Linked DNA regions of Macaca mulatta. The protein of the gene in region 2 purifies or fractionates together with the protein of the main gene of each other region. This does not show direct contact. Links are inferred from orthologs where the notes say so. Each region holds a gene or a part of one and is shown on either strand. Other genes may lie near its edges.

Evidence for each region.
Region 1: the proteins of SLC16A11 (region 2) and EMB purify together in Homo sapiens (co-immunoprecipitation; 3 studies listed by BioGRID and IntAct, counting the BioPlex papers as one, with this or other methods). This does not show direct contact. The link is inferred for Macaca mulatta from reciprocal best matches to the Homo sapiens genes SLC16A11 and EMB.

What each region holds. Positions count from the first base shown.
Region 1 is NC_133411.1:58,040,849-58,050,554, reverse strand, and holds part of EMB (embigin), read left to right. Parts: intron 1-3,803; coding exon 3,804-3,990; intron 3,991-4,224; coding exon 4,225-4,313; intron 4,314-9,706. UniProt on the Homo sapiens protein: Plays a role in the outgrowth of motoneurons and in the formation of neuromuscular junctions.
Region 2 is NC_133421.1:8,514,847-8,524,652, forward strand, and holds SLC16A11 (monocarboxylate transporter 11), read right to left. Parts: upstream 4,425-9,806; 5' UTR 4,110-4,424; intron 3,853-4,109; 5' UTR 3,847-3,852; coding exon 3,645-3,846; exon of another isoform or gene 3,485-3,644; intron 3,407-3,484; coding exon 3,263-3,406; intron 3,100-3,262; coding exon 2,332-3,099; intron 2,245-2,331; coding exon 2,015-2,244; 3' UTR 1,957-2,014; downstream 1-1,956. Other genes in the region: SLC16A13 (monocarboxylate transporter 13), read left to right, coding at 86-288. UniProt on the Homo sapiens protein: Proton-linked monocarboxylate transporter. It catalyzes the transport of pyruvate across the plasma membrane.

The DNA.
Region 1 (9,706 bases), on a different chromosome or scaffold from region 2:
AGGTAATCTCTGGCAATATATGTATTCTAGAGACATCAAATGTTATTTTTCTTTTTGAGCATTAAATTCAATTCAGCAGTTTGCAGTCATACAAGCAGTTATTTCAAGCATGTGCTCACAAAGTGCTTCGCACGAGCTGTACTTCACTATCTGCAAACCTTGTACCTGGTCTTTGCTTATGGAAGCATTTCGTAAAGTTTCAAATGTAATTAAAAGTGATAGATTTTTTTTTTTTTTTGTGAGACAGGTCCCTGCTTTATCATCCTGCCTGGAGTGCAGTGGTGCCACCTTAGCTCACTGCAGCCTCAACTCTTGGGCTCAAAATATCCTCCCACCTCTGCCTACGACTAGATGGGACCAAAGACATGCACTATGAAGCCTGGCTAATTTTTTCATTTTTTTTTTTTTTTTTTTCCCAGAGATGAGGTCTCACCATGTTGCCCAGGCTGGTCTAGAACGCCTGTGCTCAAGCAATCCCACACACCTCAGCCTCCCAAATTACTGGGATTACAGGCATGAACCACTGCACCTGACCATTTTATTTGAGTTGTATTATTTTTCTTTCTACATTTGGCTCTGCATAGTCCATTTAATCATACTATACCATTGTTGAGAATGAGAAGAGCGTGAGAAATTTGTATGATGCACTACCGTCTTCCAAACACAACTCTTTCTCTTCCCCTTAAGAGTAATTACCACTATTCTGATTTTTATGCAGTTACTTTCTTGTTTTTCTATATTGTTTTATTACCCAGGTATGCATCCCTAAATATTACAGTTCAGTTTTGCTTTTCTTTTAATGGAATTTTTTGAGTATCTTATAATCTTCAGGTGCCCGAAACATAGCACCTGACGTCCAATACAAAGACATCTCTCTCCCTTTTAAAATTTATGTGTTGAAAAAACCAGGCTGGGTGCGGTGGCTCATGCCTGTGATCTTAGCACTTTGGGAAGCTGAGGCAGGCAGATCACGTGAGGTCAGGAGTTCAAGACTAGCATGACCAACATGGTGAAACCCCATCTCTACTCAAAATACAAAAAAATTAGCCAGGCTTGGTGGCGGGTGCCTGTAATCCCAGCTACTTGGGAGGCTGAGGCAGGAGAATCTCTTGAATCCGGGAGGTGGAGCTTGCAGTGAGCCGAGACAGCACCATTGCACTCCAGCCTGGGCAACAAGAACGAAACTCCATCTCAAGCAAACAAACAAAAAAGACAGAAAAAGAAAAAAAACAGATCATTTATTTTGTAGAATTTTCGCAGAATCTGGATTTTGTTGATTACTTTCATGAAATGTAGGTTAATGTGTTCTTCCATAATCCATATTTCCTGTAAACTGAGAATTGAATCCAGAGACTTAACCAGTTTGAAGAACCTCCTCAGCACCTTTTCTGACAAGACCGTATCCTAGGTAGTGGGGTATTCTTCCTCAAGAGAGACATAATTCTGTTTTTGAAATTATTGCCCCAGTTGATGCAAAATGCCTAGATTCATGATTTACTAGGGATTGCATCATCATTATGGTATATTTGTATGATTTCTTTTTTATTCATTTGCTGGAATTTTTCTATAAAGAGAACATTGACTTTCTCTACTGTTTGGTTAGCCAGTGATACAGTTAGTGTAGGACAAACAAGGTACATGCTGAACGTTTTTTTTTTCTTTTTTCTTTTTTTTTTTTTTTGAGACGGAGTCTCGCTCTGTCGCCCAGGCTGGAGTGCAGTGGCCGGATCTCAGCTCACTGCAAGCTCCGCCTCCCGGGTTTACGCGATTCTCCCGCCTCAGCCTCCCGAGTAGCTGAGACTACAGGCGCCCGCCACGTCGCCTGGCTAGTTTTTTTGTATTTTTTAGTAGAGACGGGGTTTCACAGGGTTAGCCAGGATGGTCTCTACTCCTGACCTCGTGATCCGCCCGTCTCGGCCTCCCAAAGTGCTGGGATTACAGGATTGAGCCACCGAGCCCGGCCTGAACATTTTTTCTTTATTTGCCACTGTTCAAAATTAAAGTAAGCTTTTTTATATTTTCCGTAAGAGTGTGTGTGTGTGTGTGTGTGTGTGTGTGTGTGTGTGTGTGTGTGTATGTATTATCGGAGAGTTAGTGGTTGGGAACCTGAGGGTTAAACTGAAGAAAGAAAAGACAAGTAGAGGCTCTTACTGCTCTTGTTCTAGTGCACCCCTTATTTTATTTTATTTTTTTTTTAACCAGTATCCCAGATTGGATACTGGTGGAAAAAAAAAGAGCTCGTACTTACCTGCTGGGTCAGAGGTCCTGAAATCTCAGGCTTTGGAAATGGGGTTGGAGTGGAAGGGTGGGGAGTCCTAACCATTCCGTATTCCTTGCCAAACTGTCAAGGAGAACTTTTTTCTATATAATTTCAGGCTCAGTGAATTAAACTGACAAAAGATAGATTAACAGAACAAAAAACATACTTAATCACATGTGGACAAAAGTTAGAAAAACATGTAGCTCAAAGGGGCAGTTAAAAGTAGGGGCTTATATACCATCTTAGTAGGGTAAGAAGAGGAGGAGAAAGGCCTTTTATGGAAAAACAAATGAGTTTTAGGAAAGATAAATGAGCCCTTTAGATAACAGGTGGAAGATATGATAGTTTTGTGACAGTGTCTGTTTAGGTGTGGTGTGAAGACTTCTCATCTTCAGTGATAAGAGTCCATTGTCCCTGTTGCTGCTAGGGAGGGGATTTATGACAATAGAGGTTTTTTGGAGTTGCTTTGAAAGGCTCTGCTTTTAGTCAGAGTAGCTATTTTAGGAACTCAAATGCCTTCTCAAAATAATTTGTATGCTATCCTGGCATATTCTGGACCCCTTCAGTGTGTGTGTGTGTGTGTGTGTGTGTGTGTGTGTGTGTGTGGTGTGTGTGTGTGGTGTGTGTGTGTATTGTTTTCCTTTTAAGATAAACACTTCAACTTGTGTGTGTGTGTGTGTGTGTGTGTGTGTGTGTGTGGTGTGTGTGTGTGGTGTGTGTGTGTATTGTTTTCCTTTTAAGATAAACACTTCAACTTCCCTAAAGCTTCTCTAAGGGTTAGCTCCTTCTCTTCCCACCTATAGATGGGAAGAGAAATTGAGAACCTTTCAGACTACTTTTTAGGTACAAGTTTTAAAAATTTGCTAAGAGGGAAGGTCTAATGTTAAGTGTTCTTATGATAATCAATCGATCAATCCAAAATAAATAAGATATCTATTTTGAAAGTCAAAAAAAAGATAAACACCTTATGAATTCATACTGATACTGAAATTCAGTTCAAATTCAGAACTACAGGATGCTTATTTAAATTCTCTGTCCTGTACCTATGTCTATATCCAGTCCCTACGGGTTCTTAAGAAGACTAGGAATGGTTAGAATATAATATATCACTCAAATCCATGTTATACAAAAAACATTCTCGTAATAACTACCAACAACATGATTACTCAAAATTATTGAAACAGGCATTCCATTCTCACCCATGAGTGTGTTGTATTTACAGTTGTGCTGTTTTTACACTGTCAGAGCATACAGCACATGTTATTGAGTACTCTGTACCCTATATTCTGCTTATTACAGAGCTTAAGGAGATAACTATCACAGCTTTAGGTTTTTTTTAATTGTGTTAATGTTGGATCAAAACATTTCTTTAGGTGTGCATATAAAAGGGAATAAGAAAGGGAACCAACTATGTTGATAGAGGAATAATTCTTCAAATGAATGAAATTGTCAATAAAACACTTCAGTTAATAATTTAAAAGGTTTTATATATTAGATTCCTCTGAATATAACTTTCACATTTTGTCCTCTTTTGTGCTAATAGAACATTCTAGTATGCCAGTAGAAAAAAATATCACTTTAGAAAGGCCTTCTAATGTAAATCTCACATGCCAGTTCACGACATCTGGGGATTTGAATGCAGTAAATGTGACTTGGAAAAAAGACAGTGAACAACTTGAGAATAATTATCTTGTCAGTGCAACAGGAAGCACCTTGTATACCCAATACAGGTGAGTATACAAATTTTAACCTACCTTGTTTGCCAAAAGTAGCTTAATTCTAAATATTTTTGCTGACTGAGCATTCTTCCCTCTGCAGCCACTTGAATGTTATGCTAATATTCTAATTTGCATATTAACAGAATTATTTCTATTTTAAAATTTTGATTAATGGCTAAGTCTTTTCATTTTCATTAAGAAGGTTTTGAGAACTAAGCCTATATTAATAACTTCAATTATCTTTAGGTTCACCATCATTAATAGCAAACAAATGGGAAGTTATTCTTGTTTCTTTCGAGAGGAAAAGGAACAAAGGGGAACATTTAATTTCAAAGGTCAGTATTAATAGCTTGAGGAATAGTTAATAACTTCAGCACTATGTTCTTAGATTTCTCAATCCTGTAATTTTAAAATTATTTTTACAATAATAAACATAATATAGCTGAAAGTAAGTCATATGCTTTCCAGAGTCACAAGAGGTAACCTTGAAAATGGTCTTGTATCCCCAAGTCAATTTCCTTTCTGCTTCTGTTCCTCGGCTTAAAGCACAGGTTTTAGTTCAAAAGGATAGCCTACCACATTATGAGTGAATTATGAGAGTCACATGAATTTCTTTATTTACACCTCTAAATTCATAGTTTTTATAATAGTCCTCCACATTTCTAAGTTATTGTGGTATCAGCTTCTGAGAGCGTGGGTGGATGTTCTATATCCATAGCTCCATGACATGGGATTTTTTTTTATTATTATTATACTTTAAGTTCTAGGGTACATGTGCACAACGTGCAGGTTTGTTACATATGTATACACATGCTGTCTTGGTGTGCTGCACCCATTAACTCGTCATTTACATTAGGTATATCTCCTAATGCTATCCCTCTCCCCTACCCCTACCCCAGAATAGGCCCCTGTGTGTGATGCTCCCCTTCCTGTGGCAAAGTGTTGTCATTGTTCAGTTCCCACCTATGAGTGAGAACATGCGGTGTTTGGTTTTCTGTTCTTGCGATATTTGCTGAGAATGATGGTTTTGATTTGAAATTGTGGTTTTGATTTGCATTTCTCTGATGGTGAGTGATGATGAGCATTTTTTCATGTGTCTGTTGGCTGTATAAATGTCTTCTTTTGAGAAGTGTCTGTTCAAATACTTTGCTCACTTTTTGATGGGGTTGTTTGTTTTTTTCTTGTAAATTTGATTGAGTTCTTTGTAGGTTCTGGTTATTAGCCCTTAGTCAGATGAGCAGAGTGCAAAAATTTTCTCCCATTCTGTAGGTTGCCTGTTCACTCTGATGGTAGTTTCTTTTGCTGTGCAGAAGCTCTTTACTTTAATTAGATCCCATTTGTCAGTGTTGGATTTTGTTGCCGTTGCTTTTGGTGTTTTAGACATGAAGTCCTTGCCCGTGCCTATGTCCTGAATGGTATTACCTAGGTTTTCTTCTAGGGTTTTTATGGTTTTAGGTCTAATATTTAAGTCTCTAATCCATCTTGAATTAATTTTTGTATAAGGAGTAAGGAAAGGATCCAGTTTCAGCTTTCTACTTATGGCTAGTCAATTTTCCCAGCACCATTTATTAAATGGGGAATCCTTTCCCCATTTCTTGTTTTTGTCAGGTTTGTCAAAGATCAGATGGCTGCAGATGTGTGGTATTATTTTGAGGGCTCTGTTCTGTTCCATTGGTCTATATCTCTGTTTTGGTACCAGTACCATGCTGTTTTGGTTACTGTAGCTTTGTAGTATAGTTTGAAGTTAGGTAGCGTGATGCCTCCAGCTTTGATCTTTTAGCTTAGGATTGTCTTGGCAATGCAGGCTCTTTTTTGGTCCCATATGAACTTGAAAGCATTTGTTTCCAATTCTGTGAAGAAAGTCATTGGTAGCTTGATGGGGATCGCATTGAATCTATAAATTATCTTGGGCAATGTGGCCATTTTCACAATATTGATTCTTCCTATCCATGAGCATGGTATGTTCTTCCATTTGTTCGTGTCCTCTTTTATTTCACTGAGCAGTGGTTTGTAGTTCACCTTGAAGAGGTCCTTCACATCCCTTGTAAGTTGGATTCCTAGGTATTTTATTCTCTTTGAAGCAATTGTGAATGGAAGTTCATTCATGGTTTGGCTCTCTGTTTCACTCTTATTGGTGTATAAGATGCTTGTGATTTTTGCACATTGATTTTGTGTCCTGAGACTTTGCTGAAGTTGCTTATCAGCTTAAGGAGATTTTGGGCTGAGATGATGGGGTTTTCTAAATATACAATCATGTCATCTGCAAACAGGGACAATTTGACTTATTCGTTTCTTAATTGAATACTCTTTATTTCTTTCTCTTACCTGATTGCCCTAGCCAGAACTTCCAACACTGTGTTGAATAGGAGTGGTGAGAGAGGGCATCCCTGTCTTGTGCCAGTTTTGAAAGGGAATACTTCCAGTTTTTGCCCATTAAATATGATATTGGCTGTGGATTTGTCATAAATAGCTCTTATTATTTTGAGATATGTTCCATCAATACCGAATTTATTGAGAGTTTTTAGCAAGAAGGGCTGTTGAGTTTTGTCAAAGGCCCTTTCTGCATCTATGGAGATAATCATGTGGTTTTTGTCTTTGGTTCTGTTTATATGCTGGATTACATTTATTTATTTGCGTATGTTGATCTGCCTTGCATCCCAGGGATGAAGCCCACTTGATCATGGTGGATAAGCTTTTTGATGTGCTGCTGGATTCGGTTTGCCAGTATTTTATTGAGGATTTTTGCATTGATGATCATCAGGGATATTGCTCTAAAATTCTCTTTTTTTGTTGTGTCTCTGCCAGGCTTTGGTATCGGGATGATGTTGGCCTCATAAAATGAGTTAGGAGGATTCCCACTTTTTCTATTGATTGCAATAGTTTCAGAAGGAATGGTACCAGCTCCTCATTGTACCTCTGGTAGAATTCGGCTGTGAATCCATCTGGTCCTGGACTCTTTTTGGTCAGTAGGCTATTAATTATTGCCTCAATTTCAGAGCCTGCTATTGGTCTCTTCAGGGATTCAACTTCTTCCTGGTTTAGTCTTGGGAGAGTGTAAGTGTCCAGGAATTTATCCATTTCTTCTAGGTTTTCTAGTTTATTTGCCTAGAGGCGTTTATAGTATTCTTTGATGGTAGTTTGTATTTCTGTGGGGTCAGTGGTGATATCCCTTTTATCATTTTTTATTGCGTCTATTTGATTCTTCTCTCTTTTCTTCTTTATTAATCTTGCTAGCAGTCTATCAATTTTGTTGATCTTTTCAAAAAACGAACTCCTGGATTCATTGATTTTTTGTGTCTCTATCTCATTCAGTTCTGCTCTGATCTTAGTTATTTCTTGCCTTCTGCTTGCTTTTGAATGTTTGCTCTTCCTTCTCTAGTTCTTTTAATTGTGCTGTTAGGGTGTCAATGTTAGATCTTTCCTGCTTTCCCTTGTGGGCATTTAGTGCTATAAGTTTCCCTGTACACACTGCTTTAAATGTGTCCCAGAGATTCTGGTGTGGTGTATCTTTTTTCTCATTGGTTTCAAAGAACATCTTTATTTCTGCCTTCATTTCGTTATGTACCGAGTAGTCATTCAGGAGCAGGTTGTTCAGTTTCCATGTAGTTGAGCAGTTTTGATTGAGTCCTGAGTTCTAGTTTGATTGCACTGTGGTCTGAGAGACAGTTTGTTGTAATTTCTGTTCTTGTACATTTGCTGAGGAGTGCTTTACTTCCAACTGTGTGGTCAATTTTGGAATAAGTACGATGTGGTGCTGAGTGGAATGTATATTTTGTTGGTTTTTGGTGGAGAGTGTGTAGATGTCTATTAGGTCTGCTTGGTGCAGGGTTGAGTTCAATTCCTGGATATCCTTGTTAACTTTCTGTCTCGTTGATCTGTCTAATGTTGACAGTGGGGTGTTGAAATCTCCCATTATTATTGTGTGGGAGTCTAAGTCTCTTTGTAAGTCTCTAAGGACTTGCTTTATGAATCTGGGTGCTCCTGTATTGGGTGCATATATAGTTAGGATAGTTAGCTCTTCTTGTTGAATTGATCCCTTTACCATTATTTAATGGTCTTCTTTGTCTCTTGATCTTTGTTGGTTTAAAGCCTGTTTTATCAGAGACTAGGATTGCAACCCCTACTTTTTTTGTTTTCCATGTGCTTGGAAGATCTTCTTCCATCCCTTTATTTTGAGCCTATATATGTCTCTGGATGTGAGATGGGTATCCTGAATATAGCAAACTGATGGATCTTGGCTCTTTATCCAATTTGCCAGTCTGTGTCTTTTAATTGGACCATTTAGTCCATTTACATTTGAGGCTAATATTGGTATGTGTGAACTTGATCCTGTCATTATGATATTAGCTGGTTATTTTGCTCGTTAGTTGATGAAGTTTCTTCGTAGCCTCCATGGTCTTTACATTTTGGCATGGTTTTTCCAATGGCTGGTACTGGTTGTTCCTTTCCATGTTTAGTGCTTATTTCAGCATCTCTTTTAGAGCAGGCCTGGCGGTGACAAAATCTCTCAGCATTTGCTTGTCTATAAAGGATTTTATTTCTCCTTCACTTATGAAGCTTAGTGTGGCTGGATATGAAATTCTGGGTTGAAAATTCTTTTCTTTAAGAATGATGAATATTGGCCCCCACTCTCTTCTGGCTTGGAGAATTTCTGCCGACAGATCTGCTGTTAGTCTGATGGGCTTTCCTTTGTGTGTAACCCGACCTTTCCCTCTGGCTGCCCTTAACATTTTTTTCCCTCATTTCAACTTTGGTGAATCTGACAGTTATGTGTCTTGGAGTTGCTCTTCTCGAGGAGTATCTTTGTGGTGTTCTCTGTATTTCCTGAGTTTGAATGTTGGCCTGCCTTGCTAGGTTGGGGAAGTTTTCCTGGATGATATCCTGCAGAGTGTTTTCCAACTTGGTTCCATTCTCTCTGTCACTTTCAGGCACACGAATCAGATGTAGATTTGGTCTTTTCACAGAATCCCATACTTCTTGGAGGCTTTGTTCATTTCTTTTTACTCTTTCTTCTCCAAACTTGTCTTCTCGCTTCATTTCATTCATTTGATCTTCAATCGCTGATACTGTTTCTTCCAGTTGATCGAGTCGGTTACTGAAGCTTGTGCATTTGTCACGTAGTTCTCATGTCATGGTTTTCATCTCTTTCAGTTCGTTTATGTACTTCTCTGCATTGGTTATTCTAGTTATCCATTCTTCAATTCTTTTTTCAAGGTTTTTAATTTCTTTGGCCTGGGTACATAGTTCCTCCTTTAACTCTGAGAAGTTTGATCGACTGAAGCCTTCTTCTCTCAACTCATCAAAGTCATTCTCCATCCAGCTTTGTTCCATCGCTGGGGATGAGCTGCATTCCTTTGGAGGGGGAGATGCACTCTGAATTTTTTAATTTCCAGCTTTTCTGCACTGTTTTTTTCCTAACCTTGTGGTTTTATCTGCCTTTGGTCTTTGATGATGATGTTGTACTGATGGTTTTGGTGTGGGTGTCCTTTCTGTTTGTTAGTTTTTCTTCTAACAGTTAGGACCCTCAGCTGCAGGTCTGTTGGAGTTTGCTTGAGGTCGACTCCAGACCCTGTTTGCCTGGGTATCAGCAGCAGAGCCTGCACAAGATAGAATATTGCTGAACAGCAAGTGTTGCTATCTGATTCTTGCTCTGGAAACTTTGTCTCAGAGGTGTACTCACCTGTGTGAGGTGTGAGGTGTTGGTCTTCACCTAGTGAGGGATGTCTCC
Region 2 (9,806 bases):
CTTCCCTCCACCCAAAAATGTATCTGAGACATCAGCCCCAGTAAATAGATCACTCATGTGTATTGTTTTTCTCTCTTGGACCTAGGCTACCTCCGGGATGTGACAGGCAACTACACGGCTTCTTTTGTGGTGGCTGGGGCCTTCCTTATTTCAGGGAGTGGAATTCTCCTCACCCTGCCCCACTTCTTCTCCTGCTTCTCAACTACTACCTCCAGGCCCCAGGACCTTGTAACAGAAGCACCGGATATTAAAGTTTCCCTACCGAAGGAGGGGCTGGAAGAGGACTGAACTTCACAGAGTCAGGCCCGGAAAGCCAGAGCTTGACAGCTCCAGGTCTTCTCTTGCCACGTCTTGGTCTCCACAGAACCACAGTGCCTTAAGATTCTCCATCTGCCTCCCCCTAGAGCAGGCCTGGGGCTCCTGCAATGTGTGTGCCAACCCTTTGTATTTTTGTATTTTGTTGAGGACTCTTATTTATCCTCCTTTACTGTCCTAACATTTTCTTTTTTTTCTTTTTCCCGAGATGGAGTCTTGCTCTGTTGCCCAGGCTGGAGTGCAGTGACATGATCTTGGCTCACTGCAACCTCCGCATCCCGGGTTCAAGTAATTCTCCTGCCTCAGCCTCCCAAGTAGCTGGGATTACAGGTGGGAGCCACCGCTCCTGGCTATTTGCCTTTTTTTTTTTTTTTTTTTTTGTATTTTTGGTAGAGACGGGGTTTCGTCATGTTGGCCAGGATGGTCTCGAACTCCTGACCTTGTGATCCACCCTCCTCAGCCTTCCAGAGTGCTGGGATTACAGGCATGAGCCACCGCACCCAGCCTTTCCTAACCTTTTCTAAAGGACCCAGGAGTTTTAAAGGATCCGGGAGTTCCTGCTTCACTGAGTGTGAATCAACTGTGAAAATCAAAGGCCAAGAGACTTACCATGTTTTATATACCATCTCTAGTGTTGCCTCCCAAGTTTCTTCTCTGAAGATATATGTTTGGGAAACATGACTGTCTCTTTGAGATAAAATCAAGTAAGAAAAATAGATAATAATCACAACCTCAGAATGAGCTGGGGCCCGTATGCTTGGGTTGGCCAAATGGTGTCATGCCTGGAAGTGGAGGAGGATGTCCAGGAGCTCTGATGACCCAAGGCATTTTAACCCTGGACTCTGTTCTCCAGGCCGCCACCACATACCTCCCTCTTGCCCATTATCCCTGTGGCTTAGAAAAGAAATTGAGGGCCGGACGCAGTGGCTCTCACCTGTAATCTCAACACTTTGGAAGGCCGAGGCGGGTGGATCACGAGGTCAGGAGTTTGAGACCAGCCTGGCCAACATGGTGAAACCCCGTCTTTACTAAATACAAAAATTAGCCGGGCGTGGAGGCATGTGCCTATAATCGCAGCTACTGGGGAGGCTGAGGCAGGATAATTGCTTGAACCCGGGAGGCGGAGGTTGCTGTGAACCAAAATTGCACCACTGCACTCTAGCCTGGGCGACAGAGCAAGACTCTGTCTCAAAAAAAAAAAAAAAAGAAAGAAAAAGAAAGAAAAGAAATTGAGAGAATGCTGAGGGCACAGGTTATAGATGTGTGGATAGCTTTGGTAGAACTGAAGTCTGAGCCTAGGATTCTTGTATTTCCCTCAGGGTCATAGAAGGAGATTGAAATGCAGGGAAGAGTTAGTCTGGGAGGTCTGGGGACTAGGGTAAGGGACATGAAGATGGGGCAGATAGCACCCACGAGCAACCCACCTCCAACCCCAGCAACACACTGAAACCGGCTGCCAGACAACTTTGCAAAGATTCCCTGTTCCGGCCAGGACTTGGGCAAAGAGAAATGGGTTGCCTGGACAGACAGTCGCCCTTCTTCATACCCAGGGCCTCCTGGGATCCTGTTCCTTTGAACCAGCCTTTCTGGCTGTCTTAAGTAGAATATTTTCAGGGTCCTAGATGGGTGAACAGTTGGAGGTTTCAGGAAAACCCAATAAAAATTCTTTATTGGGGGAGGGGCTCAAACAGGAAAATAATCAACAAGTGGTGTCCAGAGTGGAGCGAGGGCCTCCTGGGGACAGCAAGACTGCCTGGGGAGCGGGAAGCAGCTCCCCCCTCTCTGGGGGAGGCGTGGCTGGAGGGGAGGCTGGACCACAGGAGGGCAGCGCCTTGGGCAACCCTATGTAGATGAAGCTGCCGGAGAGGATCAAAGAGCCAGACACCAGGAAAGAGGTGGTGAAGTCTCCTGTCTCATCCCTTAGGAAGCCTGAGGAGATGGGTAAGGGAATTTAGAAGCCCCTAACCCCAGGGGCAGAGGATAGTTGTAGGCAGATCTGCGAGCTCAGGTCCTTACCTGATAGGGGAGGGCCCAGGAGCCCTCCGAGGCTCATCAGCATCATCACCAGTCCCGTGGCCTGCACCACACCTCCGATGCCCACCAGCCCGGGGAGCACACCGAAAACCAGCGGGGCGTAACTGCCCGCGCTCAGCCCATAGGCCACAGCCGCGGCCAGCAGGGGACCCCCCCAACTCTCTTCGCCCCCCACCACGGGCACCAGTCCCACTACCCACAGCCCCAGCCCAGTCAGAGCCCCGAATACGGCCAGCAGCCGCGGGAGAGGCACCCAGCCTTGGTCTGCCAGCCACCCGCAGACCAGCCGGGCGCCCGCATCACCCACCGCAGCCACGGCCACCACCAGCGCTGCCCCGTATCCCCCCAGGCCCCGGTCTAAAGCGTGGGGGGCCAAGTGCACGTAAGGAACGAAGTACCCGCCCCCAACCAGGGCTGTGCCTAGAGCAAAGATCGAGAAGGCCCGGCGTGTGAAGAGTCCCAGGCCGAGGGCAGCTAAGGGACTACGCGGTGGGGCTGGGGGGTCGCCAGGAAGGGCCAGGGGTAGCAGCAGGGCGCCACAAGGAGTGAGGTGGAGGGTGATCGCGCCGAGAAGGAGCAGAGCGCCCCGCCAGCCGAAAGTATCGAGGAGAAGCTGCAAGGCAGGCGCCAGGAGCAGCGAGGAGGCCCCGTTGCCAGTGAGCGCCAGCCCCACCGCCAAGACTCGACGGCGGGAGAAGTAACGCGAGAGGGTGCCTAGGGCAGGGGCGAACACCAGGGCCCAACCAGAGCCTGCGAATGAATGGGAGGGGATGTGGGCCGGCACTGGGGACGCCCTCCCCAGCATTCCCAGTCCTGCTCTCCGCACCAGGCCCTCGCCTCGTTCGCTACCCCAGTCCCATAAGCTCCTGTCCCCAGTTCACCCTGAATGACCCGGGCATCCCCCTTCCCTCACCAGCGAGGAGGCCCAGGCCGAGGTAGAGGTGCAGCAGACTGCGGGCGAAAGCCGAGAAGACGAAGCCCAGCGAGGCGAGGACACCCCCAACCATCACCACCGTGCGGGCTCCCCAGCGCGTGCTCAGGGCGCTGCCCACCGGGCCTGGAAGGGGGCGGAGTCAATAAAAGACACGCCCCCGGGCCCCCAAACTCTCTCCAACACCTCTCATTGGCTGTTTACCTCCCTCGAACTAATGGTTCCTCTCCTTGACCTTAAGATGCACTCTTTTCTAGAGCCGGTCGTCCTTTCTCAGGTTGTCGGGTAATCAGGGGGGTCTCCCATCCCTCCACTCACAGCCCCTCCTCCCCGTTCCCGTCTCTCGCCTCAGAGCCCGCCTCACTGGCTGCCTGCTGCACCGCCAGGGCCAGGGCGCTGATCCACGCAGTGTCCTGGGCGCTTCGGTCAAAGTGCTCGGCAAGGTCAGGGAAGGCAAGGCCCAGCGAGCGCAGCAGCCCGTAGGACAGCCCGTTCACTGCGAAGGCTGCGGCCGCCACCACCCAGCCCCAGCCCCCGTCCGGGGGTCCGGCGGGCTGGGGGGTCATCGCCGTCTGCGGGGGTAGGCAAACACCTGTGAGAGAAGCCTCTACGCCTGTGCTTCCGCTGGGAAGCTGGCATCCCTGAGATCCAGCCTCTGGCTGCTCCCCCGGGGTGGGCGGGTCACCCCGAGCGCGATGGCGCAGAGCAGAGGGAGCCGGAGCCAGGCCTAGGGCTGGAACTCCCGGGTCCGCGCGAGGTACCAGGACGGGGACAGCCAGATCCCCCAGGCCCGGGGCTCCCCGTCCCACGTACACTCCTTCCCCCTTACCCGACCTCTCCGGGCTGTGCGGGGAGGGGAAGGGCGAGGAAGGGCTGGGCCCGGCTTTCTCTCCGCTTCCCAGGCGGGCGGGGGCCCCGAAGGGGAGCGAGAGCAGCGATGGAGCCCAACTTGGACAAGCTCTCTCGGTAAACAGAGATCACCACAGGGGCCCGAGCCACCTGGGACGCCGGGGGTACGGAGGGCGGGGGCGAGCTGAAACAACCAATCAGCCAAGCCGCGGGTGAGGCCAGACACCAGTCCCACGGGGATTGAATTATGTACACACACAACCCCCAGCCCCGGGGAGGGAGTGGAGAGGAATGAATGCCGAGGGGCCCTGCCCTGCTCACACCCATGCACCTGCTGCCTGCTGCGCGCAGGGGAGACACGTGGATTGCAAACCCCAGCGAGCCCGAGCCCGGGGTCCACCGCCAACGCGGGGAAATATGGATGGTCCCAAAAGCCTGAGGGGATGAGTAGTTTTGTTTTCAGGAACATTGCTTAGGACCAGGTAGACCTCGGATATCAGATCACAGACTTCCACTGAGTGCCAGAGCTGTGCTTAGAATAGCAGACCCCCAGGCCGGGCACGGTGCACGCCTATAATACCAGCACTTTGGAAGGCCGATATGGGTGGGTCACCTGAGGTCAGGAGTTCGAGACCAGCCTGGCCAACGTGGCGAAACACCATCTCTACTAAAAAAACAAAGAAATTGGCCAGGCATGGTGGCACGAGCCTGTATTCCTAGCTACTCTGGAGGCTGAGGCAGGGGAATCTCTTGAACCCAGGAGGCAGAAGTTGCAGTAAGCCAAGATCATGCCACTGCACTCCAGCCTGGGCGACAGAGCAAGAGTCTGTCTCAAAAATAAATGAATAAATAAATAAATAAAATAACAGGCCCCCAAGGATAGAGGGTGAAACAGGACTCTCTCAAAGTGAAGACCTGTGATGTGCCAGGCACTGTTTACACATGCTATCATTTCATCTTATAATAACCCTATGAAGAAGTTGTTGCTCTCTTTTATTCATTTATTTTTTTTTAGATGGAGTCTCACTCTGTAGCCTAGGCTGGAGTGCAGTGGCGAGATCTTGGCTCACCACAACCTCTGCCTCCTGGGTTCAAGCGATTCTCCTGCCTCAGCCTCCCGAGTAGCTGGGATTACAGGCACATGCCACCACTCCTGGCTAATTTTTGTATTTTTTAGTAGAGATGGGGTTTCGCCATGGCCAGACTGGTCTGGAACTCATGACCTCAGGTGATCCACCACCTTGGCCTCCCAAAGTGCTAGGATTACAGGAGTCAGCCACCGCGCCCGGCTGGTGTCGTGCCTCTTTTATAGATGCAGTAACTGAAGCTCACAGGGAAAAAATGGTGTGAATATTTGAATTTAGGTCTGTCCAACTGTGGGACCTACAGGGAGAACAATCCTGGAACTGAAACAAAATCTGGCACAGTTAAGAGAAATATCCTGGATACAGCTTGATGCAAACTGCCCTGGAAAGGGCGGAACCATTGCAGGGACAGAAAACACAGGATTCTAAAATAAGGGGTCACTGGGAATAGAAAGGATTCTTGAGATCAGAATCTCTAAACACTTAGGTTAGAATTTTATTTTTTACGTATGTATGTATGTATGTATGTATGTATGTATTTACAGAGACAGGGTCTGGTCCAGGCTGAAGTGTAGTGGTGCCGTTATGGCTCCCTGCAGCCTCGACCTCCCAGGCTCAAGCGATCCTCCAACTCAGCCTCCCGAGTAGCTGGGACTACAGGCTCCACGCCACCATGCCTGGCTAAATTTGTTCATTTTTTGTAGAGAGGGGGTCACAGTATGTTGCACAGGCTGGTCTCAAGCTCCTGGACTTCAGCAATCCTTCCACCTTGGTCTCCCAAAGTGCTGAGATTACAGTCTACCATGCCTGGCCAGGTTAGAATTTTGAAAGCAAAGTAAGAAATCAGGTCATGGAACCCAGGTATTGATTTTTTGAAACACTTTATAGAAAATGTCCTTTTTGACAGGTTGACATTCTTTACCTCAGCTGTTTGAATTCCCAGGTGTGTTCTTTGGTTTAATTATTAAACATAGGATAGAACATTCAGCAACCTAAGTTGGGATCATGCATCCACCGAGCCACATGATGGCAGTGTTTCCTAATTGTTGGGAAAGAATCTGCCTGTAAAGACAAGAAAAACGCTTCTTAAGGAGCGCAACTGTAAACATGAAAAACACAGCATGACCTTCAACGGCTCTCCACTGCCTAAAGAGGGAAAAAATTACATTTCTGTACTCTGTACAGGCCTTTTACAAGAATCAAAGGTAGACCTAGGTTACCGTTCCAAACCGTCTCTCCTCCCTCCCTTTTGCAGCCTCCCATCAGCCACTATCTTCTCTGCTCCATGGACATGCCTAGCTTTTCCTCACTCCTCAATTTTTGCAAATGTCATGCTCTCTGCTTGAAACGTCCTGTTCATGAAGGTCTAAGGTGACAGACACACCTTAGGAAAGTGGCCCCACCGGTTTCCCAGCCCGGAGTGCTGTTGTGAAAGCAGGTCCTCAGCCACCGGGGAGGGCAGGGATCCTGCCTCCTGAGAAGGCTGCTGAAGACTCTGCTCCAAGCTAAACGAATCACCGTCTCCCCATGGTGAGGCAGAAATGCAGGGCACTCAGAGCGAAGACCGGGCCCTCTGCGTCTGGGAGTTGTGCTAAGTGATGCTGAGCACCTTCGCAGGATGCTTACGAAGCCAGAAGGGTATCCTAGAGCCTGGGACTGGGGCTGTGCAAGGGTACATTCCTCTTCTACCTCAGGCTCCCTATATTCTTAGCAAAACTTGTCATCTTTTGCTGACGGAATAAAATAGCACAGAGATTAGGAGAATAGACTCCCAAGTTAGATTTCCTGGGGTTGAATTCCAGCTCTACTGTAGGATCCAGCCCTACGGGGCTTAGGGGGTGTTCTCCCCGTGTGCGGAGATGAGACTGTAATAAATACACAAGACAAAGAGATAGAAGAAAAGACAGCTGGGCCCTGGGGACCACTACCATCAAGACATGGAGATCAGTAGTGACCCAGACCGGCTGGGCGTGCTGATATTTATTGCATACAAGATAAGGGAGCAGGGTAAGGGGCATGGATCTTCTAAGTGATTGACAAGGTGAAGCAAGTCACATGATCACAGGACAAGGGTCCCTTCCCTTTTAGGTAGCCGAAGTAGAGATGGAGAAGGCAACATACGTCAGCGTTTTCTTCTATGCACTGATAAGAAAGATCAAAGACTTTAAGACTTTCACTATTTCTACCTCTATCTACTACGAACTTCAAAGAGGAACCAGGAGTACAGGAGGAACATGAAAGCGGACAAGGAGCGGTGACCATTGAAGCACAGCACCACAGGGAAGGGTTTAGGCCTCCGGATGACTGCGGGCAGGCCTGGATAATATCCAGCCTTCCACAAGAAGCTGGTGGAGCAGAGTGTTCTCTGACTCCTGCAAGGAAAGGACACTCCCTTTCACCGTCTGCTAAGTAATGGGTGTCTTCCCAGACACTGGCGTCTCTGCTTGACCAAGGAGCCCTCAAGCAGCCCTTATGTGGGCGTGACAGAAGGCTCACCTCTTGCCTTCTAGGTCACTTCTCACAATGTCCCTTTAGCACCTGACCCTACACCCGCCGGTTATTCCTAGGTTATATTAGTAATGCAACAAAGAGTAATATTAAAAGCTAATGATTAATAATGTTTATAATAATGACTGATAATTGTCCATGATCATCTCTATATCTAATTTGTATTATGACTTTTTATTCTAACTATTTTCTTTATTATACTGAAACAGTTTGTGCCTTCAGTCTCTTGCCTCAGCACCTAGGTAATCTTTCGCCCACATTCTACTACTTAGTAACTATATGATCATGAGCAAGTGTGACTCAATCTCTCTGTGCCTCAGTTTCCTCATTTCTACAATGGGGATAATAACAGTAGCTACCTGATGGGTTGTTATAAGAATTAAATGAGTCACTGTGAATACATATATAAGTAAGTAATGTAGAACGGTGCCCAAATATGACATGTGTTAGAGCTCATTGTCGCTATTTTCTTTTTTCTTTTTTTTTTTTTTTTTGAGATGGAGTCTTGCTCTGTCACCCAAGCTGGAGTGCAGTGGCCTGATTTCTGCTCACTGCAAGCTCTGCCTCTCGGGTTCATGCCATTCTCCTGCCTCAGCCTCCTAAGTAGCTGGGACTACAGGCGCCCACCACCATGCCCAGCTAATTTTTTGTATTTTTTTAGTAGAGATGGGGTTTCACCATGTTAGCCAGGATGGTCTTGATCTCCTGACCTTGTGATCTGCCCGCCTCAGCCTTCCAAAGTGCTGGGATTACAGGCATGAGCCACCACGCCTGGCCTCTTTTTTTTTTTTTTTTTTTTTGAGACAGAGTCTCACTCTGTTGCCCAGGCTGGAATGCAGTAGCACAATCTAGGCTCACTGCAACCTCTGCCTCCCAGGTTCAAGTGATTCTCCAGCCTCAGCCTCCCAAGTAGCTGAGATTACAGGTGCCCGCCACCACATTCAGCTAACTTTTTTGTATTTTTAGTAGAGACGGGGTTCCACTATGTTTGCCAGGCTGGTTTTGATCTCCTGATCTTAAGTAATCCACTCACCTTGGCCTCCCAAAGTGCTGGAATTACAGGTATGAGCCACTGCACCCGGCCTCCATTGCCGCTATTGCTGTGAGTTGAGGAACCTGGCTGGACCCAACAGCACCGCAGCCCTTCCCCACCTGGCTACTCCTGCTAATGCCTCAAGGTCAATGCAGCACATTGCCCTGGTAAGTTCTCAGTAGCGCCACATGGGTTATAAAATGTGAATGGCTATAAAGAGATTCAGTGGAAATTTCTGCTTTTCTTTTTTTTTTTTCCTTTCTTTTCCCTTAGCATTTTCCAAAGTTTGTGCAAAAATGGTGGTCTCCCTGTCTTAACTCTAAAAACAAAAGAGAAGGCCAGGTGCAGTGGCTCACACCCATAATCCCAACACTTTGGGAGGCCCAGGCAAATGGATTACTTGAGGTAAGGAGTTTGAAACCAGCCTAGCCAACCAACATGGTGAAACTCTGTCTATACTAAAAATATAAAAATTAGCCGGATGTGGTGGCGCATGCCTATAATCCCAGCTACTTGGGAGGCTGAGGCAGGAGAATCACTTGAACACAGGAGGGGAGGTTGCAGTGAGCTGAGATCATGCCACTGCACTCCAGCCTGGGCAACAAGAGCAAGAATCCGTCTCAAAAAAATTAAATAAGGCCAGGCGCGATGTCTCACACCTGTAATCCCAGCACTTTGGGAGGCCAAGGCAGGTGGATTACCTGAGGTCAGGAGTTCAAGACCAGCCTGACCAACATGGAGAAACCCTGTCTCTACTAAAAATCCAAAATTAGCCAGGCGTGGTGGCGGGCACCTGTAATCCCAGCTACTCGGGAGGTTGAGGCAGGAGAATCGCTTGAACCTGGGAGGCAGAGGTTGCCGTGAGCCGAGATTGCGCCATTGCACTCCAGCCTGGGCAACAAGAGTGAAACTCCGTCTCAAAAATAAAAAAATAAAAATAATAAAATAAATAAATAAGAATAATAAATAAATAAAAACAAAAGAAAAGAAAAAGTCAGAATAAGTTTTAGTCATTCAGTCCTTCATACAAAATATTTATAGACAGCTACCA